Stegostoma tigrinum: one gene and its partners. The protein of the gene in region 3 purifies or fractionates together with the protein of the main gene of each other region. This does not show direct contact. Links are inferred from orthologs where the notes say so. Each region holds a gene or a part of one and is shown on either strand. Other genes may lie near its edges. The genes, in order: ubac2, hspb1, vcp and cullin-1.

What was found.
Region 1: the proteins of vcp (region 3) and ubac2 purify together in Homo sapiens (affinity purification with mass spectrometry; 3 studies listed by BioGRID and IntAct, with this or other methods). This does not show direct contact. The link is inferred for Stegostoma tigrinum from reciprocal best matches to the Homo sapiens genes VCP and UBAC2.
Region 2: the proteins of vcp (region 3) and hspb1 purify together in Homo sapiens (affinity purification with mass spectrometry; 3 studies listed by BioGRID and IntAct, with this or other methods). This does not show direct contact. The link is inferred for Stegostoma tigrinum from reciprocal best matches to the Homo sapiens genes VCP and HSPB1.
Region 4: the proteins of vcp (region 3) and cullin-1 purify together in Homo sapiens (affinity purification with western blotting; 4 studies listed by BioGRID and IntAct, with this or other methods). This does not show direct contact. The link is inferred for Stegostoma tigrinum from reciprocal best matches to the Homo sapiens genes VCP and CUL1.

The regions. Positions count from the first base shown.
Region 1 is NC_081359.1:17,621,520-17,629,552, forward strand, and holds the start of ubac2 (ubiquitin-associated domain-containing protein 2), read right to left. Parts: upstream 3,148-8,033; 5' UTR 3,064-3,147; coding exon 3,033-3,063; intron 1-3,032. UniProt on the Homo sapiens protein: Restricts trafficking of FAF2 from the endoplasmic reticulum to lipid droplets.
Region 2 is NC_081380.1:6,803,050-6,810,109, reverse strand, and holds the start of hspb1 (heat shock protein beta-1), read right to left. Parts: upstream 3,043-7,060; 5' UTR 2,818-3,042; coding exon 2,457-2,817; intron 1-2,456. UniProt on the Homo sapiens protein: Small heat shock protein which functions as a molecular chaperone probably maintaining denatured proteins in a folding-competent state. Plays a role in stress resistance and actin organization.
Region 3 is NC_081354.1:133,138,690-133,146,295, reverse strand, and holds the start of vcp (transitional endoplasmic reticulum ATPase), read right to left. Parts: upstream 3,110-7,606; 5' UTR 2,922-3,109; coding exon 2,905-2,921; intron 1-2,904. UniProt on the Homo sapiens protein: Necessary for the fragmentation of Golgi stacks during mitosis and for their reassembly after mitosis. Involved in the formation of the transitional endoplasmic reticulum (tER).
Region 4 is NC_081355.1:98,233,402-98,240,503, forward strand, and holds the start of cullin-1, read right to left. Parts: upstream 3,235-7,102; 5' UTR 2,955-3,234; intron 1-2,954. UniProt on the Homo sapiens protein: Core component of multiple cullin-RING-based SCF (SKP1-CUL1-F-box protein) E3 ubiquitin-protein ligase complexes, which mediate the ubiquitination of proteins involved in cell cycle progression, signal transduction and transcription.

The DNA of each region.
Region 1 (8,033 bases), on a different chromosome or scaffold from region 3:
TACTCAGACTACTTTCACACACAATCTTGCACAGTCAGTAATCTGCTGTAGAGATGAACAAATAGGAGAATTTTCTGCTCCTCTTCAAACTATGTTCAAAGTCATTTGCCGAAGAGGGCGAGAGTCATCTCTGACAGTATAGCCTAAATATTGGGCATGCTTTTGCTCTCTCTGGAGGCACAGACTTGGGTCACGACATACTGTAAGTGCAAAGGTGAGGCCCCATATCTCAGGAAGGATGTACTGCTGGCCCTGGAGAAGGTTCAGAGGACGCTCACAAGAATGGTCCCAGAAATGGAAAGCTTAACACATGAGGAACGTTTGAGGACTCTGGGACTATACTCATTGGAGTTCAGACAGATAAGGGGGGATCTAACTGAAACTTTCAGAATACTGAATGGCCCAGACAGAGTGGCAGTGTGGGGGTGGGTGGGGGAGGGGGGGGCGGGGGTGGGTGGCGGAGGATGGGCGGGGGGTCTGGGGCTGTGGGGGGTTGGGTGTGGGTGGGGTGGGGGGGGGTGGGTGTGGGTGGGGTGGGGGGGGTGGGTGTGGGTGGGGGGGGTGGGTGTGGGTGGGGTGGGGGGGGTGGGTGTGGGTGGGGTGGGGGGGGTGGGTGTGGGTGGGGTGGGGGGGGGGGTGTGGGTGGGGTGGGGGGGGTGGGTGTGGGTGGGGTGGGGGGGGGGTGGGAGGTGTAGGGGGAGTGGGGCGGGGTAGGTGGGTGTGGGTAGGTGGGTGTGGGTGGGGGGAGTGCAGACAGACGGGGTGGGTGTGTGGGTGGGGGGAGTGCAGACAGACGGGGTGGGTGTGTGGGTGGGGTGTGCAAAGAGATTGGGTGGGTGCGTGGGTGGGGGGGAGAGGGAGTGCAGACAGACAGACAGACAGGGTGGGTGGGGTGGGGGAGGACAGACAGACAGACAGGGTGGGTGGGGTGGGGGAGGACAGACAGACAGACAGGGTGGGTGGGGTGGGGGAGTACAGACAGACAGGGTGGGTGGGGTGGGGGAATACAGACAGACGGGGTGGGGGAATACAGACAGACGGGGTGGGTGGGGTGGGGGAATACAGACAGACGGGGTGGGTGGGGTGGGGGAATACAGACAGACGGGGTGGGTGGGGTGGGGGAATACAGACAGACGGGGTGGGTGGGTGGGTGGGTGGGGTGGGGGAGTACAGACAGGGTGGGTGGGGTGGGGGAGTACAGACGGACGGGGTGGGTGGGGTGGGGGAGTACAGACGGACGGGCTGGGTGGGGGAGTACAGACGGACGGGGTGGGGGGGTGGGGGGGTGGGTGGGGGAGTACAGACGGACGGGGTGGGGTGGGGTGGGTGGGGTGGGTGGGGGAGTACAGACGGACGGGGTGGGGTGGGGTGGGGTGGGGTGGGGTGGGTGGGGGAGTACAGACGGACGGGGTGGGGGAATACAGACAGACTGGGGTGGGGGAGTACAGACAGACGGGGGTGGGGGAGTACAGACAGACGGGGTGGGGGAGTACAGACAGACGGGGTGGGGGAGTACAGACAGACGGGGTGGGGGAGTACAGACAGACGGGGTGGGGGAGCAGTGAGTGAAGGGCAGAACAACAGGGCATGGTGGGGGAGTGCAGACAGACGGGGTGTGGGAGGGGGAGTGCAGACAGACAGGGTAGGATAGGGTGGGGTGGGAGCGCAGACAGACGGGGTGGGGTGGGAGCGCAGACAGACGGGGTGGGGTGCGGGGGTTGCAGACAGATGGGGTGGGGAGCAGGAGGTTGCAGACAGATGGGGTGGGGAGCAAGGGGGGTGCAGACAGATGGGGTGGGGAGCAAGGGGGGTGCAGACAGATGGGGTGGGGAGCAAGGGGGGTGCAGACAGATGGGGTGGGGAGCAAGGGGGGTGCAGACAGATGGGGTGGGGAGCAAGGGGGGTGCCGACAGACGGGGTGGGATGGGGTGGGTGAGGTGGGGGATTGCAGACATACAGGGTGGGGTAGGTGCAGTGGGGTTGCAGACATACGGGGTGTTGGGGGGAGTGCACACAGACGGTAGGGTGCAGACAGACAGGGTGTGGGGGAGGGTGCAGACAGACAGGGTGTGGGGGAGGGTGCAGACAGACGGGGCATGGGGTGGGGAGTGCAGACAGACGCGGTGTGGGGTGGGGGAGTGCCGGCAGACGGGAAGTGAGGGGGCGTGGCGTGCAAACAAACGGGGCGGGTGGGCATGGGGTGCAGACAGGCAGTTGGGGTGCAGACAGATGGAGTGGGTATGGGTGGGGTGCAGACAGACAGGGTGGGTGAGGGTGGCGTGCAGAGACACGGATCGGGTGGAGGTGGCGTGCACACAGACGGGGCAGGGGGTGGGGTGCTGACAGATGGAGTGGGTGAGGGTGGCGTGCAGGCAGGGTTCGGGTGCAGACAGACGGGGCGGGTGGGCGTGATGTGCAGACAGGCAGTTGGAGACAGATGGAGTGGTGTGGGTATAGGTGCAGATAGACGGGGCGGGTGAGGGTGGGGTGCAGATAGACGGGGCGGGTGAGGGTGGGGTGCAGATAGACAGGGCAGGTGGAGATTGTCAGACAGACATTGCGGGTGTCTGGGGGATCGTCAGACAGGCATTGCAGGTGTCTGTGGGGAGGTGTCAGGCAGACACTGGGGGCGGGTGTCAGGCAGACATTGGGGGGGGTGTCTGGGGGCGGGTGTCAGGCAGACATGGGGGGGGTGTCAGGCAGACATGGGGGGGGGTGTCTGGTGGTGGGTGTCAGGCAGACATTGGGGGGTGTCTCAGGGTGGTGTCAGTCAGACAGGGATGTAGCCAGGCCTACCGGCCATGGTGTCTGGAGCGGGGTCAGTGTAGGACCCAGACCCTTCCTTTCCTCTCCCTGGGCTCATTGGCGAACCCCGCCCCCAACGAGGCCTCCATATTCGTGCCGCGCTTGCCATTCACTGCACCGGCCCAACCGTCTCCACCTCGAATCGGGGAGAATCAACAGAAAAGTTTCCCATTGCTCAGGACTCCCTGAGCTGCCCCAACTCCCACTCCCATGTCTCGGTTACTCACAGAGGCCGCTGGAACCAGTCCCAGCGAACATCGTCCCGTGGCCCCGCCCACACGCGGTGACCACGCCCTTTCTTCCTCACCCCATCCCCAATGTTGACCACGCCTCTCGCCTTTGACCACACCCTTCCCCGCCAAGACCACCCTTCATCTAGACCCCACCCCTCACTTTGTCCCCGCCCCAACGTCATTGTCACGCTCCTGGCTCTAAAACACCTGCTCGCCCTCGCCCCACATGTTCGCTCTGACCGCGCCTCCCATTCCAGACCCCGCCCCCTCGACCTGATCCTGGAGACTGAAACATTCATTGGGACTGATACTTGTATTCACGTCGTAGTAATTTTATCTGACAATGACGTTTACACTGACTGTGTTTTCTCACTAACAGTATTTTCTACACTAATAACATTAATTACTATTAATTACAATTAATAGCATTCATCACTATAAATTACTATTAATAGTATTCATGTTCATAATTATTAGAGAGCTTGATTTAAAGAGCCATATTTGGCTAATACTAATAGTTCTATTAGTAGTAATAAGTATTTGTTTAATCCGGAACAAAAGGTCATAGTTTTAGCACAAGGTGAAACACTTTTAAAGCAGAGATGAGGAGTAATTGCTTCTCTCCAAGTCATGAATCTGGAATTCACTATCCCAGATTGAAGCGGATGCTAGCACATAGAGTAAATATAAAGAGAACATAGATTTTTAATTAGTAACAGTTTGAAAGGTTATCAAAAACAGGCAGGAAAGTGGAACTGAGGCCAAGATGAGCTCAGCCGTGACCATATTAAACAGCAGAGCAAGCTCAATCAGCTAAACGCCTTCCCCTAGTTCCTATGTGTGGTAGAACAGAACTTGACTGCTGCTGAAAAAGGAGATATATCTGTCAAAGCTTTTTCTTCTTGCTCTCAGTTCTGTTGATGATATCATTAATAAATAAAATCCAATTCAGGGAAAACGCATCATTAAAATTTATGACAGGCAAGTACTGATTGGTTGCAAGTGGACTCAGATTGTGAGAAAGTTTGGTCTGCAGATGCAGCAGTTAATGTTGACTGACAGTAAACTGTAAAACTTTGCTTACATTTTAAAGCTAGTAGGTTGGCTCCTATTGGTCAAGTTATTATCCTGAGATATGAACCAGAAAATGGCTGTTGTTATTATTCTTGGGTTGAAACAGGTTGCATGTGTACATTTCCTTCAAGTTTGCAATATGCAGGGCTCTTTGTCTTAATATATTTAACTTGTAGTATACACAAGTGCATGACATTGCTAGCCTGACTGATAATCTTAAATTGGTTATCGGCTTAATCCTTCATCCCCTCAGAATTATCCAGCAAGTGTTGTCCAGTCGCAGAATCACATCTAATGTTGGACATTGTTTTGTGAATTTCACAAGTGTGGCTGAGTGGGTACAGTCATTAATTTGCTTGTTTCATCCAGGTGGAGAGATATATTCCTTGATGCAATCCTCCAGTCTTTGAACACATGGCCTATATACCTAGCAACACACAAGCAGTAAAATTCATACACCATTATCCAGCTGTGCAATAAGCAGAGTACCCTTTTAGTGTAAATGTTATTTTCACTTTTCTTTGGTATGTTTTATGACTTCTTCTGATGAATGCAAGGTGAAATGCTCTAACAAACTGTGTCTTTTTAAACAATATTCTGTGACAATAGTTAATACAAACAACAGTAATAATTATATAGCTTTTTTATGAGTGATATTTATTCCACGTCAGTAACATTAATACTAATAGTAATAGTTATACTCACTAGGAGTACGCTCACTAGTACATACTAAGAAATTGGTACTTGTATAAACTTCAATATTGAACATGCATTAGTTAGATTGGTATTTATTCAGAGACAGGTAATGGGATAGCCCATGGTTTGAGATACAGTGAGGAGACTTCTGCAGAGAAAGATATAAGTTATGTCGGGAAGAGCTGAGAGAAGAAGTCACAACTGGGAGCACTGGCCCTAGTACATGGATCCAGTGAGACAAAAAAAATTCAACCATTGGTCATGTGGCTAGGTACGTTCCCTCTCAGAAACACACTTCAGACCTCCACTGCTACCAGAAACGCAGGAAGCAGCTAAATTGTTACCCAATTATCCCATTGCACTCACCATCCTCTTTCTTGGTAGGAATCTACAGGCCTGCTTGGTAGAGATAAAGCACTTACTGTTGTCCTAAATAAGAACTATGGTATTGCATGAAAGCAGCTAGTAGAAGTGACATTATGTAATAGAATCTATTACAGAAACTATGAGATAGACCCAGACTCATGTTGCACCTGATCGGGTTTCCCATGAAAGCCACAATGACAGCACTTTACTGGGTGGTGCTTAAGGCAATATCAATATTAATCCTTTCAGACCCTTGTACCTTTACCCAACATAAATCTGACATTGAAAACCGCCAGCATGATGAGTAATGGTGACCATGAAATTAAGGAATTGTTGTAAAATACATTGAGTTCACTAATGTCATAGAAAACGTACCGTGTGGAAAGAGGCCATTCAGCACATACTGAACTTCCAAAGTGTAGCCAACCTGGGCCAGGCCCTTTAGTCCCATGTTTATCATTACTAATCCATCCATCCTACACATCCCTATAACAGGACAGGGTTTTTTTTAGCATGGCCAGTCCATCTGCCCTGCACATCTTTGGACTTTGAGAGGAAACTGAAGTACCCAATTAAACTCACACAGACATGGGGAGAACATGCAAACTCCATGTAAACAATTACCCATGGCTGGAGATGAACCTGGGTCCCTAGTGTTGTGAGGTAGCAGCACTAACCACAGAGCTACTCTACCAACCTACATCTGTTAGATAAATATTTACTGTCCTTACCTAGTGTGGCCTTTTCATGTTTCCTATATCACAGAATTGTGATTTTACTTCTCTCTAAGATGACATCGAAAGCCATTCAGTTAAGGGTTGTTAAGGATGGTCAGATATAGGCTCTACCAATGGTACCCACATCCCACAAATTTCTTTTTTATACCCCATCCGTTTGTTGTTTTGCTTGACTCTTTTAGGTTTAACTGGCTCAAAATACCAAAACATACAATTTGTAGAACTAATAAGCTTGCTGGCCCAATGGCCTCTTGTGAACCCCATTAGGTTTTGCATGGTTTCTTTCTGCAGTTAGTACCACAATCCACCAGATGGCAATATTTATTTACATTGTAAACTACGTCCATCTCAAATCATTCACCATGCATCTCGATAGTTCTGTTAATGAATCTTTGATTGTAAAAGAATTTAGGCTGAAGAGATAATTATATTCATGCCATTTAAAACTAGATACCTATCTCTAGTAACTTGTTGCAGGTATCTGTGAAGCTGATTTAGAATGGATAACCGAGTTACGGCACTATCGTTGAGTTGAAAGATTGGAGATGCTGCAATGGTTCTCCTTAGAACTGAGAAGTTAAGTGAGATTTTAATTGAGATGTTCAAAGTTAAGTGACTTGATAGAGTAAGTAAAGACAAGCTGTTTCTACTGGCAGGAGGATTGCTGACGAAAGAAAAATAGGTTTAAGATAATTGGTGAACAAATCAGAGATGCTGTAAGAGGAGGCTATGCAATGTTGGACATGACCCTATTACTCACCTTCATCAAGTTAGAATTTTGCCCAATAGCAAATTCTGAAACTGAACTTGTCTTTTGCACTGTTCCTTTTTATTGAATTTATTTGGAAGAAATTCTGTTTTATCTTATCAACTGTAATCAGACCCGTCATTGATCTTTACATCACTCATAGCAGGATTAAGCAGAATATGTGCAGACAAAGACTGTCAAATCATTACATGACCAATTGTTAAATGCATTGTTATGACTGAGGTTGGAGGAGTGCACTCCCACTAAGGTAAAAAATGCTCTTTCTCATCACCAAGATAATAAACCAAAAACCTTATCCACATTAATAAGCACAATTTGGGATTTATTTTCGAACCAAGAGTTATTCAATTGCAACAATTGGTTAATATATTCATAGAGTAATACAGATGTATAAATATGCTTCCTATAAATATTCCCAAAACACACGGACCCAAACACTCTTCAGGAAAAGAAGGGATAAAAAAAACAAATAAATGCCTGAAGAGATTGGTTTTCTTATTAAAATAAAGTGCATTTTTGTCAATTGATTATTCTTGAAGACAAAAAGATACAGCATACGATGTTACAAAATCTATTGCATGAATACTTTTGCATATTTGGTCACATCAATGATGTTGTGTGGTTGCCCCTGAAGTCTTGCAAATATAACTTGCTCAGAAATTATAATCTTGAGATGCTCTATCAATCACCTTTTCAAAAGAGCAAATAGGTTTCACCTTGAAGTGATGCGGAAGGTTTTCTTTGCAGAAATGTAAAAGATCAGCTAGGCAGCTTGGTCATAGTATGCTTTCCCCTGTATGACGCAGCTAAAACAAACACTTTATAAGGCAATCATGATTCAAAACAATTCCAGCAGGATCTATAGCAAGGCAAAAGGCATAACCACTCCTGTTATTTCCAGGAAACATTGTTAAAACAGATCTCCAAAGGCCACAATAACTTCCAATGACCTCCTTTAAAGAAACACTTCAGACATGTCCACATATTCTCCCACTTTACCATTATAATCTTCCAAATATCTTTGAGTTAGTTCCAAAATTGGGAGAACTGTCTCACAGACCATTCAAGCAGATGGTATCGGTAAAAGAGACCACTACACAGTCCTTGTAGAGACAAAGTCCCACTTTCACATTTAGAATACCTTATATCATGGCAAAATCATACTCAGGGAATCCTACCTTTCAGACAATGTCCCAGGCAAACCAATGCCATCGCTGAGTATGTCCCAGCAGAGGTCGCAGCACAGTGGCATTCGGACGGGAGAGAACTGCACTGGAAGTCCTCAACATTGACACAGGACCCCATGAAGTCTCAAGCATCAGGTTAAAAATGGGTAAGGAAACCTCCAGCTGA
Region 2 (7,060 bases), on a different chromosome or scaffold from region 3:
CGCTTTCTGTCTCCCAATGCAGTCTCACTGCTGCCTCCAGTTTACATTTCTAACCAGCTTTGTATTGTCAGCAAGTGTAGATACATTAATCTCAATCTCTTCATCTAGTCACAAATATAGATTGTAAATTGATAAGGCTCAGCAATGAACAATACTCTACTAGTCCCAGCTTGCCATCTCGAAAAGGTCTTATCCATCTCTCTGTTTCCTGTTAGGCTGAAAAATCTGACCACAACCCCAGTCAGAGACAGAAACCCTATTTCCAACCCCGATCAAATTTTAAAAATGCCCACTTCTGCCCTGGAGATTTCTGTTCTAGAGCCTTTTGGTATGAGCCAGTCTAAGCAAGCCTCAAATCCCGAAGTGCAAAGGGTTTTTGTTGAAACTACATCACCTTCTGCAGCACTTAATGCGTTGGTCTTCATTTTAAATGGTCAGCAGGCACTTTGAAATCTACTGTGAAAGGTAAGTACATACTTGAAGGGGCAGCAGGAGGGACCAGTCCCAGTGAGTGGGGGGCATGAGCCAGGTGGGTAATGGGGAAAAGTCACAGATTAGTTAGGGTCAGGTAGGTAGGGTTCCAGGGGAGGAAGAAGTGGGTAAAATGCCAGATGTGCAAGCTGAAAAAGAAGCCAGATAGATTGAGTCCCGGAGTGCCTCACAGGAGGATGAGTACTTAGGAGAGATTGCCATTTCAGTTCAGGTTGGAGCTGGGGCTGGGAAAATGACTGGGATGTTATGTTGGGTCAGACTGGGAGATATCAGTTGAGGGGTAGGAAGGTATTAAGTCGAAACATTGAGGGTGTTATCGGATTAGGTGGAGTGTTTGATCACGTGGAGGAGGGGTTGTGTTAAGAAGAGGCATTTTGGTTCTGGTGTCTCTGCAAGTGTTATGGCAGTGGGTATGGATGGTATCTGGTCAGATTGGAAGGAGTGTGGTGTTGTTGGGTCATATGCGGGTGTTGGGGTTGTGTTAGGGAGCTGTGTTGGATCAGATGGGGTGGAGTTGGTGACGGGGGTGAATGTTGGGTTGGGGTGGGCATAGTCAGGAAGTTCAGATTAATATTTACCCAGGTATTAAAACAAGTTTTAATCCTCTAAACTTTCCTGGATAACCTGTGGGCCTATGGAGTTTGAACCCTCTGAATTCTCGACTTCAAGGGACTTTTTCAGAATTATCTTGATGCAGGGAATTTGCCAATAATAATACCAAGTTCCAGTGCAATTCCCTTGGAGCCAGCTGCCTTGAGAATTTTGCATGGCCTTGATATGCAACTTCCATTTCGACTTCAGCAAGGGCGATCTGACCATTAGAATACCTATTGCTCCCAACTCCATAAACCCCTCACCTACATAATAGCACCTTACGCGTGGTACCTTATTGAAGCTCACATCCCAGTACACTACATCTACCGGTTCCCCACCGCTGGTTAGATGGGCAAAATATCCAATTAGTTGTCAAACATGCCGTCCCTTTCATAAAACTATGTTTACTTTGTCTATGAACTATGATTTGCCATGCACATTGTTCACACTCCCTTAATAACATATTCCAGCATTTTCAAAAGCCAGGTGAACTGGCCCGCAGATTTTCCCATTCTGAAGGAGAACTAGAGACGAGCAATAAATACTGGTCCAACTGGTGAAACCTACATCCCCAAAAATCCATTTACATGATTTGTTCCTCCCAGAACATGTCACCAGCCTCACTCCAGAAGCAATTTTGAGAGATGCCCTTCCATATGAGGCACAGCAGATAAGGAGATCTTCACCCTCTTGCTGCCTGCTAAAGGCGTATTAGAAGGATATTGCAGGTTAACACCTGCTTCCTTGGCATCGTGATTGAACCTCCCTCGGGCATCAAACTACTCCTCCATCCCTCAATTCATTCTCACAAATCTTCCTTCCCCAAGCCCACTCCTGTAAGACGTTACATTCATCCGAAAGAGGTGCGAGCAGAATTGGGCACAGAAGAACACAACAAGTAGAGAGGAGTAGCTCATTCGGCCCATCGTGCCTGTTTTGCCATTAAATACAACCCTGGCTTCAAATCCACTTTCCCAGCCACACTCAATACCCCTCGATTCCCCGAGAGAAGCCTCCAATCTATGCAACTCTCCGAGTACTGAGATCCCAACACCCACAAGGGGCTGAGCGAAGTAATTTCCCCTGGGCTCTGGGCCGTTGGCCAGGAACACCCTCGTTTTGCAATCCTGGGCCCTCTGACTTTCCCGACAGCAGACTGGCTAAACAATATATAATTTAAGAAAAATTAAAAACTGGGCTTTACACTAACTCCAGTCCAACAGGAAAGTGAAGGTTGGGTGGGGTGGTGATGGAATTCAGGGACTCAAAACTCTTGGCCCAGGGACTAACCCAATGAGGGGCTCTGAAAAGTATTTGGGGAAAGTTGGAAATAGCAAGACTACAAATGAAGAGATCTGGAGGGAGCTTACCAGTGATCTCCACGTACCCATCCTTGGTCTTGACTGTGATTTCTTCCGGGGCAAAGTGGTTGACATCCAGGCTGACTTTCCACTTATCTGAGGTCACTTTGATCTCGGACACTCCTGTACTTTGCTGCCGGCTCAAGCCGCTGTCCTGGCCGCTGGCAGGAGCCGCTGCCCCGCTCGGGGCCGCCAGGGACGGTCGGAAATAGCCCGGCCACATGCCGTGCCAGTCGGTGGCCGACCAGTCGTGGGGCAAGGCTGGCATCCCGAAGAACTGGTCAAAGATCCGGCCGGGGTAGTGCCAGTCCCGGAACGGATCCCAGCTGGGGCTCCGCATGAAACTGAAGGGGATGCGGCGCTCGGACATCGCGGCAGCGGGGGAGAGAGAGAGAGAGAGGCAGAGCCGGGCTAACGCTGGGCCAGAAGTGTGGCACGGCGCTGCTTTTATATCCCGGGCTATATTTAAATCAGATTCCAGCCGAGTCCGATTACAGGGTCTGCCCTCATTGGTGCGGAATTCAAGCTCTCCAGGATTCCCGAATGGTCTCTCCGATTGTCTGGATCAGAGTTTGGAAAATGAGCTTGTTGACACTAGACACAACACTCCCTCTTGCACCCATGTACACACCCCGGGACAAAGCGCCAGGAGCTCAGTTGCTTTACTTGCAGAGGGCCAGCACAGTAAGGATGGGCCCAACAACCTCGTTCTGTGCTCTGAAAATCTCTGATTGGGAAGTTGGTGTTTGGGTTTCGACTTCCCTCCCTGGGCTAGAGTAAAATCCGGTCCCCAAACGGACTGTGTGTACGATTCTGGCCACTCTGCACCCAATCTGGGCTTCTCCAGGTTTTTAAAGAAAATAAATGAAAAGAAAACTTACTTCCTGCAGGCAGAAAATACACCGTGCACAAACATCTCATATTGCACTGCACCTGTAACTCATAGAAAATCCCTATAGTGCGAAAGCAGGCCATTCTGTCCATCAAGTCCAAACCGGCCCTCCAAGGAACATCCTCTAGAACCTCCCTACTCCCCTATCCCTGTAACCCTGGCTGACCCACCTAGCCTGCACATCCCTGGGCACTACAGCATGGCCAATCCACCTAACCTGCACATCCCTGGGCACAACAACATGGCCAATCCACATAACCTGCACATCCCTGGGCACTACAGCACGGCCAATCCACCTAACCTGCAAATCTTTGGACTGTAAAAGCACAAGGAGAATGTGCAAATGCCATGCAGACAGTCAACCACGACTGGAATTGATCCTCACTCTGTATCACTGTGAGGTAGCAGTGCTAGCCACTGAGCTACCCATATAGACCATAAGACATAGGAGTGGAAGTAAGGCCATTTGGCCCATCGAGTCCACTCCGCCATTTAAATCATGGCTGATGGGCATTTCGAATGTACTTCCCTGCACTCTCCCCGTAGCCCTTAATTCCCTGTGAGATCAAGAACTTATCAATCTCTGTCTTGAAGGCATTTAACTTCCTGGCCTCCACTGCACTCCGTGGCAATGAATTCCACAAGCCCACCACTCTCTGGCTGAAGAAATGTCATCTCATTCCCGTTTTAAATTTACCCCCTCTAGTTCTAAGGCAGTGCCCAAGTGTCCTAGTCTCCCCGCCTAATGGAAACAACTTCCCAGCGTCCACCCCTTCTAAACCATACATTATCTTGTAAGTTTCTATTAGATCTCCCCTCAACCTTCTAAACGCTAATGAGTACAATCCCAGGATCCTTAGCCGCTCTTCATACGTTAAACCTACCATTCCAGGGATCATCCGTGTGAATCTCCGCTGGACACGCTCCAGGGCTAGTATGTCATTCCTGAGGTGTGGGGCCCAAAATTGGACACAGTATTCTAAGTGGGGCCTAACTAGAGCTTTATAAAGCCTCAGAAGCACATCGCTGCTTTTATGTTCCAACCCTCTTGAGATAAATGACAACATTACATTCACTTTCTCAATTACGGACTCTACCTGCAAGTTAACCTTTAGAGAATCCTGGACCAGCACTCCCAGGTCCCTTTGTACTTCGGCTTTATGAATTTTCTCACCATTTAGAAAATAGTCCATGCCTGTATTCTTTTTTCCAAAGTGCAAAACCTCGCATTTGCGTATAGCTCACACACGGACACGTAACTCGCACTAAACGTGTAAGACACAGCACGTATAACTGCAAGCGCATTTTGCATTGCGCATGCACCTCGTACTGTGCATAATGTAACACTGCCAACCATTTTATGCAGTATATCCGTCTGCACTGCTCATACATCTTGCTCTGTGCACACATGGAATGTCATGTTCACGACTAGTGAAGTGCAGTGCCTATTCCCGATGCAAAAATCATTTCCTTCTTGTTATGTGCTCTGCCATGGACCATGGGCCTGGTAGTTAGGCATGAGCTGCTTTCGCTGTGTCACTGCTACTGGAGCAATAGTCTCTACTCTGCAGCACCGTCTGTGCGTTCGCAGTCACTCCCACAATGTCATGCCGGCACAGCATTCAATTTTAGACTAGTTGCAAGATCTAGGAGAATACAGCAACAGTTATAATCAGTCTGTAACTTTCACTGCAAGTCAGCATGCCTGGTGACTGGTCAACACCTGGCCTCCATACAGGTGCAGTGTGACGTTAAACCTGCAGCCCAAAGGTAATCTAGTCTAAAGTGCAGATTGCCAAGAAGCGGACAGTCTGTTAATGATTGTTGCTGTGCTTCATGGATCTTACAACAAGTCGAAAAGATACTGTCAAAAATTGTTTTGGTCTGGTTCCTTGCTCACTACCTGGAATGAATTTCAGACACTTTTAGTTTTGCAATTGATGTAATGCAACTGTCTTTCTTCTGGTAGACTGCAATGCTCCACCTAGTGAAGAATTTGGCAAAATATGCAGTCTTTGACCAAAACACTGCTCACAAAGTCTCTGAGGAACATAATCTTGGCAAATGGCAAGATGTTACTGCAATTATCTACACATCATCTGGGCCCAGCTTCGATGCATGTGTCCAAGTCACATCCTTTATTCTTGGACCGTCATTACTTTGGACATGTCATCACGGCTGCCATCCACTTTATTACAAATCCGCCTTTGTGTTATTTCCCCAAATCTGTTGGGGCTGTCTCTCTCTATCTGTTTCACTGCTGGTCACCTGTAACACCGGCTGTCTGGTCGGGGAGCGAAAAAGCCTGTCAACTCCTGTGTAACACGCGAGTTAACAGATTGATCACCCTGTTGTTCAGGGTCTGTCCCCTTAGACTGACAGCTACCGTGGCACTATAGATGCATCTGCCTCAGGCTCTGCTGAAACTCACATCCCAGGTGGGCCTGACTACCTCTGCAGCCTGCAGCCCCACCTTACATAGAGAGACTACACCTGAATTAGTGATTACAAATCTACTCATGAAAAGGATCCATTCGGAGCAATGAGAGTGAGCTGCCAATGCACTTGGAAAATTCACTTCCAGGATCTGGGACTGGTGTGATAATCTTCTGTATTCTTTTTCATGGAATGTGGGCATTTCACCCATCCCTCATTGCCTTTTAACTGAATGGTTTGCCTCTTCATTTCAGAGGGCAGTTAGGATTTGGCTTGATTTATTTATTTTTGCATGTACTTTGTTACAAATAATGTGAAAAGTGTAATACAGTGTCACCACTCTTCAATGCAATCTTAATGCACAGCCAAATAAACCAAAACATAGAATAAAAGGTAGAAAAGCTAAAGAAATAGAGAAAAAGTGTTCAACTTTACAGTCCTCCTTGTTAAGCGCACCGCCATGGGCCATGGGCCTGGTAGTCAGGCATGAGTTGCCTTCGCCATGTTGCTGCTCCTGGAACAAAAGTCGCCAGTTTGTGGCACCGTCTTGCACCCACCAACACCCTCACCACTATGAGGCCTCACTGGACCCTGCCAATGCAGACACCACTGACGCCACTGGGTACCGCACCGGCCCAAACTCGATTCTATTGCGGCGGTGAGTCTGCTGATAGATTATTAGCCCAGTGACATTGCAACACTCTGGAATGTTGTGTAGGGGAATTTTGCATTTTCTTGTAACTCCTCTGAGAGGCATTCTATCACTTGATTAGAAATGTATTTATTTGCTTATGTATCAACAATGTGTGGTAGCCCAGCAACCAGACCAGGCATGTGGTTGATGTGTTGCTGGAGTTGTTCCCAGCCTATAATTAGTGAGGGTGGTTAGCAGCAAGGGACAGGCATCCAGCAATTCCTGAGGGCCCTTATGAAGGATGATCCAACTTTGTGGAAGCCCTGTGTGAGACTGCGATAGCCGAAAGCAGAAGGTAACCTCTGTAATCAGAATTAAGGATTTAGTAGGGGTAATGTTCGCTCTCCTCGTCCAACACTCTTGGGGAGGAAGTGAATAAAGATCTTTAAAGGGAAGAAATGTTGATGTAGTAATGTCAGAGGAGCAGGAAAGTTGATGTTTCGGGTCGGGGGCCTTTCTGAAGAAGGGTTCTGATCCGAAATGTCAACTTTCCTGCTCCTCTGATGTTGCCTGACCTGTTGTCTTCTTCCAGCTCCACGCTATGTCATCTCTGACTCCAGCATCTGCAGTTCTTCCAATCTCTCTTGATGT
Region 3 (7,606 bases):
GCCGAAAGGGTCACGTCCAGTTCCCCCTTGAATATATTTAACGAATGGCCCAAGAGCTTTCTGTGGTACAGACTTCCACAGGTTCATAACACTGAGTGGAGAAATTCTTCTTCATCGCAGTCCTGAATGGCTTGCCCCTTATTCTTAAGATTGTGACCCCTAGTTCTGAACTTCCCCTAACATTGAGAATATTCTTCCTGCATCTAGCCTGTCCAGTCCCATCAGAATTTTATATGTTTCTACAAGATCGCATAAGACAATTCAATCCAGTTTTTCTTCAATGTCAGTCCTGCCATCCCAGGAATCAGTATGGCGAACCTTTGCTGGACTCCCTCAATAGCAAGAATGTCTTTCCTGAGACTAGGAGATCAAAACTCTCTCTTATGGACTGCAGCAGCTCAAGGTGGCACTAACCACCATAAAAGGAATTAAAGGTGGGCAATAAATGCTAGCCTCGCCAGTGATGTCCATGTCCTATGATTTAAAAACAAACTCTCAGTTGCCAGCACCCCTTCAACACCTCAACCAAATGCCCATTATTCAGGCATAAATCCCCACAGTATGATGAAGTATCGATTCAGGGAGATGTCACAATCATATTCATTACCGTTCTCACCTGACATGCACAGGGTTGTTCCAATTTTTGAAGAATGACTGGGCATTTATTTCAAGTTAAAATCCCAACCTGCTTCTCACATTTCATGAAGTAACCAAGAACTTTTCACAATGTGAGCAGGCAGAAAAGTTACGACAACTTGCATTTATATGTAACTTCCACAAAATAGACAACAAGCCAAAAAAATTGGTTAAACTTGTAAATGGTGATTTTAAAAACAGAGAGATAGAGTGACAGAGAAGCTTAGGGAGGGTTAAAAAAATTTCATGGGGTTAGGATGATGTTTCAAACAATCAAGCATTCACTCTGGAGAGAATGGAACAACCAAACCACCATAATGTAATTAGATTCTTCACCTCAGAAAGCCTTTGATATAATTGTTCAATATCAACTCCTAGCATAAAAAAGGAGTATGAAAACTATTTTCACTTTTGTGCTGCCAAACTTTGTAAGATATTAGCCGTGTGACAATTGATTTTGGTAAAGAACAGGGATATGTCAAGGTATGTCTAATTCAATGAGAATACAGGAAGTACAAAATTTAACACTACTTAAGGCTGCAGTCAACAAGCAAATTTTTGTTGTATGATTAAGAACATCAGTCAAAGAAAACAAAATCAGAGAACTTCAGACAAAGGAAGACCTCCTGTTTTTAAGCAACCATTCAATGTTGAGATGATTTGAAATAATTTCTCCTGGTAATTATGGAGTGTAGTATAACAGATGAATACAGAGGGGGTATTTATTGTGTTGCTTGGCAGACTCAGAGGCAAGCTTTATTTGTAACTAAAGTAAATAACATAGCTCAAACGTATATCATTCCATGCCATAAATTAGAGAACATGGCACTTCCACACAATTGAGTGTAACAGCTCATTGCTAAGTCTGAAGTAAAGAGTAATCATATCCAAGATTACCAGGGCTGGTAACATTGGCAGCACTCACTAACCATGGAGATTATTGGACATTTGGAACTCTCGATCCCTTAGCATAATCTAAACGATGATTCTGAAGATAAAACAAAACTTCAGGGACCATGTAATATCCAGCTGCATATGTAATCTTATTTCTAAACAAGCTTTTCATATCATCATCGGTTTGATGCTATTTTATATATACTGTCTTAAAACGTATTTTAACACACAGAACAGCACTTTTTTTTGGTAGACAAAAATTGAAAGTTTTCCACTGACACATTGAAGAATTATTTCTGACAGCATGGAATTTATACACAACTGAAAATCACATAAGCAGAGTAGCTGCAGTACAGGAAACCTTCTGATACAAAATTCACCTTGTACTCATATTTGGTATGCTTGTCGTTCCAGTTGCCTGCAATTCTGACAATGGTATCAAATTCCCCTTTAAAAGCCAAAATTAAAACTGCCCCACCAACCTTTCAAGTAATGCAATTCAGATCATAACCATTTTCAGATTTAATTCAAAATGTCCATAATGTACACTTATGTAAAGTATGATCTAGCTGGATAGCACACAAAATAGTACTTTTCACTGTATCTCAATACGTGAGAATAATAAAATCTTAGGATTATTTCAGAGGCAAAATGCTAACTAAGTGACCATTACGCGTTTGTATGGCACTGTAGCAACTTAAGTGAATTTATAATTACAAACATAAAATCCAAACTCAAAAAGGAAAGTCTCATGAAGTCATCTGTTATAACGATGTAGACATTCAGTTACTTTGATCTCTACCTAGCCATACCACATTAATTTTTACAGTTGCAGGTGAAGGGAATGGGAGAAAAAAAATCAAATATGTCCGCGAAAATAAACATAAACTTCAGTTAATCACATATTATTGCACGCTCGCCTTGATATGAGCCAGGTTAGAGGTTGGAAAATGAACGAAAATTGATTAAATCCCGTTTCGCTACGTCTCGATTTTTACAAAATGTCAGCAAATATGCCAAACTCCACAAAATAAGCCCCCCCAAAACAAAAAAAATCGCCCTCGTCATCCTCATAACTCGGCCGAAACAAACTGCAGCAAATAATTGCGAAGCGATTTTTAACTCCATTTCCAGACAGGGGGCTTTGGTGAAAATAAACCGAAGGCAGAAATTCCGCTCTGAGATCAGGTCTCTTCAATGAGATGCAGCCTCTCCCAACTAGGCCAGGATGACACAGTGAAATCAGGCGAGGAGCAAACCTGCCTCTCCCTTCCCCCTTCCTGCAGTAGACGAGGAAAAGCCTGAGGCCTACCGGCCTTCAACGAGACTGGGAACTACCATCCGCTTCACTGATCCATCCTAGGTCTTACTTACTCTCCTCCCGAAGCCATTGCCGATCAGTCTCCCTTTGCTCACAGGGATTCACTTCTCTTAGCCTCTGATGGACAATATTTTAACCCTTTCTTGTGCCGTCTTCCCTGTCACTCAATGGTCCCTTCTCGCCCCAGCTGCCGAAGTACCAAAAAAAAGCCCCTGGCAGCCGCTCCGCCGCGTCACTCCGAACTCACAACGAGGCTACCCAATCCAGAACCTTCTCTCGGAGCCGTGACCTCGCAGCCCCGCCCACCACCGCGCCTGCGCCGCTAAAGCGAGCGTGTGCGCCCGCCCCTAACTGTCAATCTCCACATCCGGAAAGGATATCGCGCTGCTTGTTCTGTCGAGTCATTCTAACGCACTGCTCCGTCAAGCTTGATGAACGTGTGTCGTGGCAGGGCTGTCGGCATCTCATTCATCGTGGTGCAAATAATTTTTGATTCGTTTTGAAACTGAAACTTTCCAAATAACTTGCCACCTCCCATTTGACCATTGGTGATTGTAATCCTTAACAATTTTCACTGCGGGGTCCTTTGGTTTTCAAGGTCTAACAGATGGCAGTTTGTATGGAACCCATTCCCTCCTGTTGCTACATTAATATGTCATTAAGAATATCAAAAGGGAGTGGGCTTAGACAAGGTAGTCCGTGGAGAAAGACGGGCGTAGACGATGGTCTGCAAGTACTGCAACATCTTTATATGAGAATGTCAAGAGAGTCACGGCAAAGGTGAGCGTAGTGCTCATTACTAAGAAGTTGGAGACAACACAGCTGGAGGAAAGCAGAAAGGCCAACTTTCCTGCTGTTCTGATGTGCCTGACCTGCTATGTTCATCCAACTCCACACTATATTGTCTCAGGATACAGAAGGACTTGGACAAACTAGGAAAATGGACAAAGAAGTGGCAGATGCACCACATTGTGGGAAAGTGAGAGGTTATGCACTGTGGTAGAAAAAATAGAAGTTTAGATATTTTCTAAATGCAGAAGGGCATTGGAAATTTGAAGCACAAAGGGACGTGGGAGTCCTAGTTCATGATTCTGTTAAGGCTAACATGCAGGTTCAGTTGGCTGTTAGGAAAGCAAATGCAATGTTAGCATTCATTTCAAGAGGGCAAGTACACAAGAGAAGTGTTGTACTGCTGAGGCTGTATAACACTCTTGTCAGAATGAATTTGGAACAATGTTGGCAGTTTTGGTCTGTGTGTCTCAGAAACGATATGTTGTCCTTGATGAGGGTCCAGAAAAGGTTTACAAGAATGATCCTGATGATAAAGGGCTTTGACATATGAGGAACAGTTGAGGACTCTGGGTCTGTATTCAATATAGTTTAGAAGGATGAGGGGGGAATAGAGTGAACATGGAGACGATGTTTCCCCTAATAAGAGAGACCGGGAACTGAGGGTACAGCCTCAGAGAAAAGGGACAACACTTTAGAACTGAGATGAGACAGAATCTCTTCAGCCAGAGAGTGGTAAATCTGTGTAACTCATTGCTGCAGGAGGTTGTGATTGGGTTAGGGGAGCAAAAGCTACAGAGATAAGGCTGGAGAATGAGGTGGACAAGCATATCAGCCTTGATCAAACAGCGGAGCAGATTCAGGGGGCCAAATGGTCTAATTCTGCCTCTATAACTTATGCTCTTCTGGCCTTTATCAAAATGCTTTAACATGAATATGAACATTAACATTAACATGATATTGAGATTTGAGTATTGAAGCTGCTTCAGTACAACCTCCAGGCAAGTGGAGGGATCCAAGAGGTAGTGTTGAAGGAGCCTCAGCCCTTGAGCTTGTCTAACGGGTTTGAGATTTTTGCTCCCTGTGTCGACAAGCGCAGGGATTGTAGAGAGAATGAACAAAATGACCATAACACTGTGGCTCAGGGAGCCATCAAGAGGGGGGAGAAAAGACAAATGTAGTTGTAATTGAGGATAATATAGTCAGGGGAGTATCCACTGATCTCTGTGGCCAGGATTGAGAGTTCTGTTTTGCCTTTCTAGTGCCTTGGTTCAAGATATCTCATTGGGGCTGCAGAGGAACTTGGAATGAAAGGTGAAAGATCCAGTTGTTATGGTCCAACGATATAGGTAGAAAGAGGAAAGAGGTGCTGCTGAGGCAATGTGAGAAGCTAGGGCCTAAATTAAAATACAGAACCAATAAGGTAACAATCTCTGAATTATTACCTGAGCCAAAATCTAACTGACACAGGGTCAACAAGATTAAAAAAAGAGGTAAACACTCAGTTCAAAGATAGTTAGGGAAGAAATAGGTTTGAATTCATAGGACATTGTCAACACTTCTGGGGAAGGATGAAGCGTTTGAAGGGATGGGCTCCACCTCAATCATGCCGACAAATCATGTAAGCAAGGCTGTGGACAGGGCTTTAAACCAAATAGTAGGGGGTGGTTGGTTAGGGGTCAAAAATCTAACGTCAGGCACAGTGGAGAAGGGGACAACAATGAGAAGGGAGCTAATGAAAGCAGGACAAAGGGTGAGATGGGGATGCAGATAGAAGATGGATAAAGGAGAAGATAGGGTGAGAGGAGACAGTCAGGTCAAAGAGGCGAGTGAAGGTGAATGTAGATGTGGAGTTGGGGAGGGGATAGGTCAGTTCAGGGAGGACGGACAGGTCAAGGACGTGGGATTAGGTTAGTGGGTAGGAGATGGGGGTGGAGCCTGAGATGGGAGGAATATTTAGGGAGGGGGTTACTAGCTGGGCTGGTTTTGGGATGCGGTCAGGGGAAGGGAGAGTTTGAAGCTTGTGAAGTCCACATTGAAACCCTTGAGCTGCAGGGTTCCCAAGTGAAATATGAGATGCTGTTCCTGCATCTTTTGGGTGGCGCCATTGTGGCAATGCAGGAGGCCCAGGATGGACCTGTCGTCTGAGGAGTGGGGGGTGCAGTTGAAATGGTTTGCGACTGGGAGGCGTAGTTGTTTGTTGCAAACTGAGCGTTGGCGTTCCGCAAAGCGGTCCCCAAGCCTCCGCTTCGTTTCCCCGATGTTCAGGAGGCCACAACGGGAACAGCGGATACAGTATATCACATTAACATATGTGCAGGTGAAATACTGTATCCGCTGTTCCTGTTCTGACCTCCTCTACATCGGGGAAACCAAGCTTGGGAACCCTGCAGCCCAATGGTATCAATGTGGATTTCACAAGCTTCAAAATCTCCCCTCCCCCTGCCACATCCCAAAACCAGCCCAGCTGGTCCCCGCCTCCCTAACCATTCCACCCACCTCAAGCCCCACCCACATCTCCTATCCACTAATCTCATCCAAACACCTTGACCTGTCCGTCCTCCCTGGACCAACATATCCCCTCCCTAACTCCCCACCTACATTCACCTTCACTGGCTCTAACCCTGCCTCTTTGACCTGTCTGTCTCCTCTCATCCTATCTTCTCCTTTATCCATCTTCTATCCGCCTCCCCCTCTCTCCCTATTTATTTCAGAATCCCCTTCACCTCCCCCATTTCTGAAGAAGGGTCTCGACCCGAAACATCAACTTGCCTGCTCCTCTGCTGCTTGGTCTGCTGTGTTCATCCAGCTTCACACCGTGTTATGTCAGATTCTCCAGCGTCTGCAGTTCCTACTATCTCCGCAGGACTAAGGGTGTTGTGTTTAATTATGTGCAGTATATGAAACAAAGTAAATGAGCTTGTCGTGCAAATTGACATTGGTGGGTACAATGTTGTGGGCATACTTTTGCATGGCTGCAAGGGGATCAGGGCTGGGAACTAAATATGCAAGGATACACATCTCATTGAAAGGACAGGTGTACGGGTGGAGGGGCTGAGGTTGACCTGTTCGTAAGATTGGCAAGATGTGACATCGAAGGTGTAGAATCTGTGTGGGCCGAGTTGAGGAACCACAAAGGGAAAAACGCCCTGGTGGGAGTTATGTACAGGCCTCCTCGCAGTATTCAGGATGTGAAGCAGAAAATAAATCATGAGATGGAAAAAGCATGTCAGAAAGGCACGATTATAATAATTACAGGGGACTCCAAAAAAACAATTGGACTGGGAAAATCAGGTTGGTAGCAGATCCCATGAAAAGGAATTTGTAGAATGTCAATGAGAGTTTTTGGAATAGTTTGTGGTAGAACCCACTAAGGAACAGACAGTTCTGGATGTGGTGATATTTAAGAAGACAGGCTTGACTGGGCACCTTAAGGTGAAGAAATCCCAAGGGGGTCGTGACCACAATATGATAGAATTCACTCTGTGGTTTGCGAGGGAGAAACTGGAATCAAATGTGATGGTACTTTAATTAAGTAAAGATAAGAACATAGACATGAGGGAGGAGCAAGCCAAAGTTGATTGGAAAAGGAGCCTAGCAAGGAAGATGATAGAATAGCAATGGCAAGAATTTCTAGGGGTAGTTTGCAGAAACAGCAGAAATTCATCTCAAGGAAGAAGAAATATGCTAAGGGGAGGATGAGGCAACCATGGTTGACAATAGAATTTGGGGATAGCATTAAAACAAAAGAAAAGCATACAGTGTGGTGAAGATGAGTGGGTAGCCAGAGGATTTAGTAAAACCTTTGACAAGTTCTGCATGGTAGACCTGTTAGATTGCATGGGATTCGGGGTGACCTTGCCAATTGGGTACAAAATTGGCTTAACAGCAGGAGGCAGAGAGTGATGGTGGAGGGTTGTTTTTCAGACTGAAAGCCTGTGACCAGAGTTATTCCACAGGGGTCGA
Region 4 (7,102 bases), on a different chromosome or scaffold from region 3:
GTTACCAACCATTGTCACTGGCACAGAATTTAACAAACTGCAAAATCTAGTTGAACTCTGAAAGCTCGCCACTGGTTGACATTGTATGTAGCATTCAGTAAGATAATTGCCGTTGATGGAGAGCAATCATCTCAACAGTTACAACCCTGAAACATGAGTCACAAAGAAAGACTTTCAAGGCCTAGACATCTTCAGCTTCATGAATGAGTGTCCATCCCTTCACAAGGTCAGATTTAGGGGTGTATGCTGATGATTACATAACATTCAGCAACATATATGACTCCTGCATAACGAAGCTGTCACTGCGCATGTGTAATGCCTAGACAACATTTAGGCTTCGACAGTTGGATGGAAAGTGACACCCATGCCAAACTAGGAGCAAGTAAAGGCCATCTCCAACAAGACAGAATCGTCATCTGCTCAACACTCAAAACACTGCACCTCCCAGTCGTGAACCATTTTAACTCCCCCTCCCATTCCTCAGACGACATGTCCATCATGGGCCTCCTGCAGTGCCACAACGTGGCCAGCCGAAGGTTGCAGGAACAGCAACTCATATTCCGCTTGGGAACCCTGCAGCCCCATTGGTATCAATGTGGACTTCACAAACTTCAAAATCTCTCCTTCCCCCACTGCATCCCAAAACCAGCCCAGTTCTTCCCCTCCCCCCACTGCATCACAAAACCAGCCCAGCCTGTCTCTGCTTCCCTAACCTGTTCTTCCTCTCACCCATCCCTTCCTCCCACTCAAGCCACACCTCCATTTCCTACCTACTACCTCATCCCACCTCCTTGAACTGTCCGTCTTCCTTGTACTGACCTATCCCACTCCCTACCTATCTCCTTTTCTCTCCATCTTCATTCTGCCTTCCCCTATTTACTCCAGAACCCTCTCCCCATACCCCTCTCTGAAGAAGGGTCTAGGCCTGAAACGTCAGCTTTTGTGCTCCTGAGATGCTGCTTGGCCTGCTGTGTTCATCCAGCTTCACACTTTGTTATCTTATATTCAATGATATTAACACTGTCAAAATCCCTATGCTTTTGGGTCATGACAAACCACCCGTCTCACTGGGTCAAAATCTGAAACATCCTTCGAAACTCAGTGGTCTCCAGTTACCCTAAGGGCTGCAGCCATTGAAGACAGCATTTGGATGAGCAACAAATGCTAGCCAGATAGTGATTACCACATTCCACAAATTAAGAAAACAGAAATAGAGACAATGATAGGCTAAAATTTCTGCAACAAGTGATCTATCCAAAATCTGTCAGGTGCATAAGGACAGATAGATGGATCACCACCATCCACAGATTGCCCTCCAAATCACTCACAATCTTAAATGATGCAATGCTAACAGGTATTTAAACTATACCAATTTGAGCATTTGAACCAAAGGATAGAATTATTGACACCCGGAGAAAATGATTAATTACCTGCAGGCTAAACTACTCAAATGGATGTATGGTGAGTTTCCACAGCCTCATACAGATAACATACACGATCATCTGATCTCGGAGAATCTGAGCACTGAATTCTACGAAGCAAGGCATTTCAGGTAAAATCAAAAATAGTTCCATTGCTTTCTACTGCTTGCTCTGATGGGCTTTTGTGTTTGTTGCAACGTATTAGCATAGTTTTCCAGGATTCCAGCATCCACTGCAGAGTCCACCTCCAAAAGCCATATATTTGTCAACTAGCTAGTTAATGATCCAAGTAAGTGCATAAGTACCGCTGACCCCCTAATTGGATGTCAGATTACTGAATCTGCCACAATGAACCACTTGGCACCAGCTCTACACAAGGCATTCCATTTCTCTCTGGGAGGCCCCGAGACATTTCCTCAACTGCTGTTGAGAAAAATACCATCTCTTGGTTAAAGTCTGTAAACATCAGACAAAGGCTTAAAGCAACAGTATGCATAAAGTACAAATCACAGAGTTGTAAGACAGTACACAAAACTGTTAAACAGTAACATTTTACATATACACTATACTAAGGCTCTTTTCCACAACACTGGCAAGACCAAGTTATGAAGAGAACAATGTTTGTTTCATATCCACTGACTGAAGCATGTCAATTGGGGTAGAAGCAATCACAGTGCGTCATTGTATAAAACAAACAGCGGCAAACTAAGAACTACTAGGTTGAATTACGGGAAGTGATTTTTGGTGCAACGCAATCTTCTAAACAGTGCTTTTGTTGACACAGACGAAGCGTTTAAGTCTTAGAAATAACAACGTGACGAGTTAAGTTGGCAACTGTGCAAGACTTCGTGACAACTTATTTCGTTTATTTAAATAAAACGATAGAATGTAGGTTATATGCGGAAACCCAGATGCTTTTAATCCACTAGATAACATTGCAGCAATTTATTTATGGGCAATGTTTAGGATCCAGAGCGCTGCTCACAAAGCGTCGAATCAAACGAAGATCGAGGCCTCGGTCCCTGGAGCCGAGTGGGGGTAAGGGGGATCCCAGATTATTTGCGGAAACTGGCCGGCGAGGACGACTAGAATCTGTCGCCGGCCGTAGGCGGAAACTAATCAGCTCCTCTTTGCAGTGCGCCACAAACAGAAGGAATCCCAAGGCCCGGCTTCTCGGGACAGGCCTAGATTAGAGCCTCGGCTCTCAGATTCATCACGGCCGAAAAAGAAACCTTCCCCATACGGAGACAGAGGCTTCCAACTCCTGCTACACAGCACCGACCCCATCACCTAAAAGTTTCAGCCGCTGGGGCCGACTGACTGAGGAGTGAGGTCGGGATTTGGTGGGGGGAAATCCCAGAGGCCTGTCCCTGGGCCTCGGGCTCTGCCAACAACATGGCGGTGACTGCGGCCTCCCGCAAACGGCCCGAGTCACCATGAGTCAGGGAGGCAATGGTTGGGGGGCGGGGGGAACCCCAGAGCTCTTTCCCTCCAACCCCACCTTCCAGCCGCCGCCGCCTCCACTTCACTCACCATCGTCCCCCTCACCGGCTCCGTCCGCTTCGCCACTCTGCTTCCGATTTAATTTTTCAACCGACTCCCGGCGCCTCGTCTCCACAGGTTCCGCCCCGCCGCCTGCAACTAATTCCTTAAACAACAGTTCCGCCGCTCGCCCACATCCTCGGGGCCTCTCCCTCAGCTCAGCTAAGCTCCTCTTCAGTTTGTTTTAATAAAATGACGAAAGGGCAAACACGTGAGGTAGTCTCGACAAACAAATAACATCGTTGGAACAAACTGTTCATCACAGAAGGGATTCGATCTCATTGCAGCTGGGCTTCCGGAAAATTTTGCTGGCGACTGTTTTATTTCTTAAGAAACGCGAAATGTTTTTGTCTACCAGGTCCCCCCCCCAAAAAAAAACTCAACGAGGTTTGTGCAGTAAGAGGGTTCAATTTTTTTTAAATTTTTAAATGAAATCAGATATTCAGCTATTTAAGTTTGAGATAGATTAATATATATATTAAAAAGGCATTTGCCACATTTGTACTGACCACGCAAGGTTTTACTGGTTTTAAATACTGGAAGAATTGATGATAACAGAAGTTGCTGGAAAAGCTCAGCAGGTCTGGCAGTGTCTGTGAAGGGAAAACAATCAGTTAAATTTTGGGATAATGGGAGAGATAATGTGACCCGTCTTCAGAACCATTCTGAAACGTTAATTCTCATTTTTCCTTTCCTGGTTTTTAATCCTCTCGATGTCTCCAGGATTACATTTGATATGAAAGATTCGAGTAACCCAACTGTGAAGATGGGCCCCTGGGAGGTTAGTCACGTCCCCCAAGTATGTTGTTGTGTTTGCAACAAATTGCGAATTCCTTATTTAAGAAATAGACCGAAAAACGCTGTTGCTATGGGATCAACTTCTAAATGAGGCAGAAGCCATTCAAACCTAATCCACCAATATCAAATCACAAGTCGTCTGTACCTCAACCCTGTATACTCGCATGTCACCCATATCGTATTTAACCTAACAGTCTGCGGAGACATAATAGGAACTGCAGATGCTGGAAAATCTGAGATGACAAGGTATAGAGCTGGATGAACACAGCAGGCCAAACAGCATCAGAGGAGCAGGAAGGCTGACGTTTTGGGTCTTGACCCTTCTTCAGAAAATCATTTTCTGAAGGGTCAAGACCCAAAACGTCAGCCTTCCTGCTTCTCTGATGCTGCTTAGCCCGCTATGCTCATCCAGCTCTACACTTTGTTATCAACAGTCTGCCTATACCAATTTGATTACTTCAATACACCCAGCATTTACAGCCTAGAACAAAATAGTTCCACGTTTCGCCCACACTTAGACATAGAACATTACAGCACAGTACAGGCACTTCGGCCCTCGATGTTGTGCCAATCTGTCATACCGATCTCAAGCCCATCTAACCTACACTATTCCATGTATGTCCATATGCTTATGGAACGACAACTTAAATGTACCTAAAGTTGGCGAATCTATTACCCTGCAGGCAAAGCGTTCCATTCCCTTACTACTCTGAGCAAAGAAACTACCTCTGACATCTGTCCCACATCTCTCACCCCTCAACTTAAAGCCATGTTCTGACCTATCTGTAATTTTAAAAGGTATAGATTTCTTGTTCTAGATCCCCACCATAAGAAATAGTTTCTCCCCAGAAATAGTGATTTGTGAATTATGTACCACACCACATCACTTGCCATTCCACCACTCTAAAGCAAAGACATGGTTCTGGAGAAACTTAGCTAGTTTGGCAGCATCTGTGGTGAAAGAAACAGAGTTAATGACCCAAGATGGATATGGCTTCAGAATAGTTCTGGTTTGACTAAGGCTTCCCCACAGTGAAAGCCAGAAGCAATATATTTTCCCTAACCACACCTATCATTGTTCTGAGGTAGTAGGAAGAGTCTAGGCCCAAAACATCAGCTTTCCTGCTTGGCCTGCTGTGATCTTCCTGACTTTGTCTCATCTGCAGACTTAAATATACAAATTTCAATTTTTTCACCTGAATCGATCAAATATGGTGAAAAACTGAACTCAGCAGATTTCTGGAGGACACCACTGTCACATCCTGTCAATCAGCAACATTCCCTTTAGTCAAACTCTGATTTAAAGTCGGAGAGAGACTTACAGCATGGAAACAAACCTTTCAGTCCAAGTCATCCATGCTGACCAGATATCCTAAACAAATCTATACCCATTTGCCAGTATCCCTTTACACATACCCATCCAGATGCCTTTTAAATGTTCTAATTGTACCAAACTCCACCACTTTCTCTGGCAACTCATTCTTTCCACGCACCACCCTCTGCATGAAAAATGTTGCCCCTTAGGTCCATTTTAAATCTTTACCCACTCTCCTTAAACCTGTACAGGACATTGGTGAAGCCTCTTCTGGAATACTGTCCAGTTCTAAGCGCCCAGTTACAGGAAGGATATTAACAAGCTGGAGATGGTTCAGAAGAGATTTACCAGGATGCTGCTGGGTATGGAAGGTTTGAGTTATAAAGAAAGGCTGGGACTTTTTTCCAGGTCACCTCTGAACCTCCAATGGGCTAGTGATAAAAATTTATAAAATAATGAGGTATAAAGTTGATGGTAGTTGTCTTTTCCCTCAGATGTGGAATTTCAGCATTAGGGGACACATTTTTAAGGCAGGAGAAAAGATTTTAAAAAGACAGGCAATTTTTTCTTTTACACAGAGGATAGTTGGCATACAAAATGAACTTCCTGAGGAAGGGGTGGATGCGAGTACAATTGCAACATTTAAAAGATATTTAAGTCAATTCTTGAATCATGGGGTTTCAGAGGCCAGGAGCAAGCTGGTGGGACGAGTGTAGTTTGGGATTATGCTTGGAATGAACTGGTTGGTCTGAAGTGACTGATTCCATGCTGTATGATTCTATGACTGTGCCCACTAGTTTCGCACTCCCCTCACCCTAGGAAAAAGATCTTGTCTGTCTATTTACCCCATCCGTGCCACTCACACCTCAGCCTGACGTTCCAGGGAAAAAATCACCCCAGTCTATCCATCCTCTCCCTGTAGCTCAAAACCTCCAATCCTGATAACATTCTTGTAAAACTTTTCTGAACCCTTTCAAGTTTCACACCATCATTCCTCACTGAAAGTGGCAACGCAGGCGGAAAAGGTAGACAACGAGACATATGGCATGCTTGCCATCATCGGCCAGGGCTTTGAGTTTAAAAAGTGGCAGGTAATGTTGCAGCTTTATAGAACCTTAGTTAGGTTGCATTTGGATTATGTTCAATTCTGGTCACCACACTACCAGAAGGATGTGGTGGCTTTGGAGAGAGTACAGAGCAGATTTACCAGGATATTGTCTGGTATGGTGGGCATCAGCTATGAGGAGAGGTTGGAGAAACTTGGATTGTTCTCACTGGAATGAGTGTGTGTGAGGGGCGACCTGATAGAAGTCTCCAAAATGATGAAGGGCACGGACAGACCAGACAGTCAGAAGCTTTTTCCCCAGGGTGGGAGAGTCAGCTACCATGGGGCATGGGTTTAATGCGAGGGGCAAGGTTTAAAGGTGATAACTGAGGCAAGTTTTCTCCAGAGGGTGGTGGGTGCTCACTCCTGGGGGATGTAGTGGAAGAAGATACTACAGAGACTTTTAAAGGGCATCTTGACAAATACATGAATAGCATGGGAATAGAGGGATATGGTCCCTGGAAGGGTAGGGGTGTTCGGTTGTGATGGATAGCATGTCAGTGCAGGCTTGGAGGGCCAAAGGGCCTGTTCCTATAATGTAAATTTTCTTTGTTCTTTGAGACCAGCATTGCATACAGTATTCCAAAAGTGGCCTAACTAACATCTTGTACAGCACAACATGACCTCCCAACTCCTTTTCTCAATGCACTGACCTATAAAGGCAAGCATACCAAACGTCTTCTTCACTATCCCATCTACCTGCAACTACCTCATGCCCCCTTTTTGCCCTCCTGATTTCCCCCTTAAGTATACTTCTACTGCCTTTGTACTCTAAGCATTCACTGGATCTCTGCTGTCTATACCTGACATGTGTTACCTTGTTCTTGACCAATACCATGATTTCTCTAGTCATCCAGAATTCCGTATACTTACCAGCCTTGACCTTCACCCTAACAGGAATATACTGTCTCTGGACTCTGG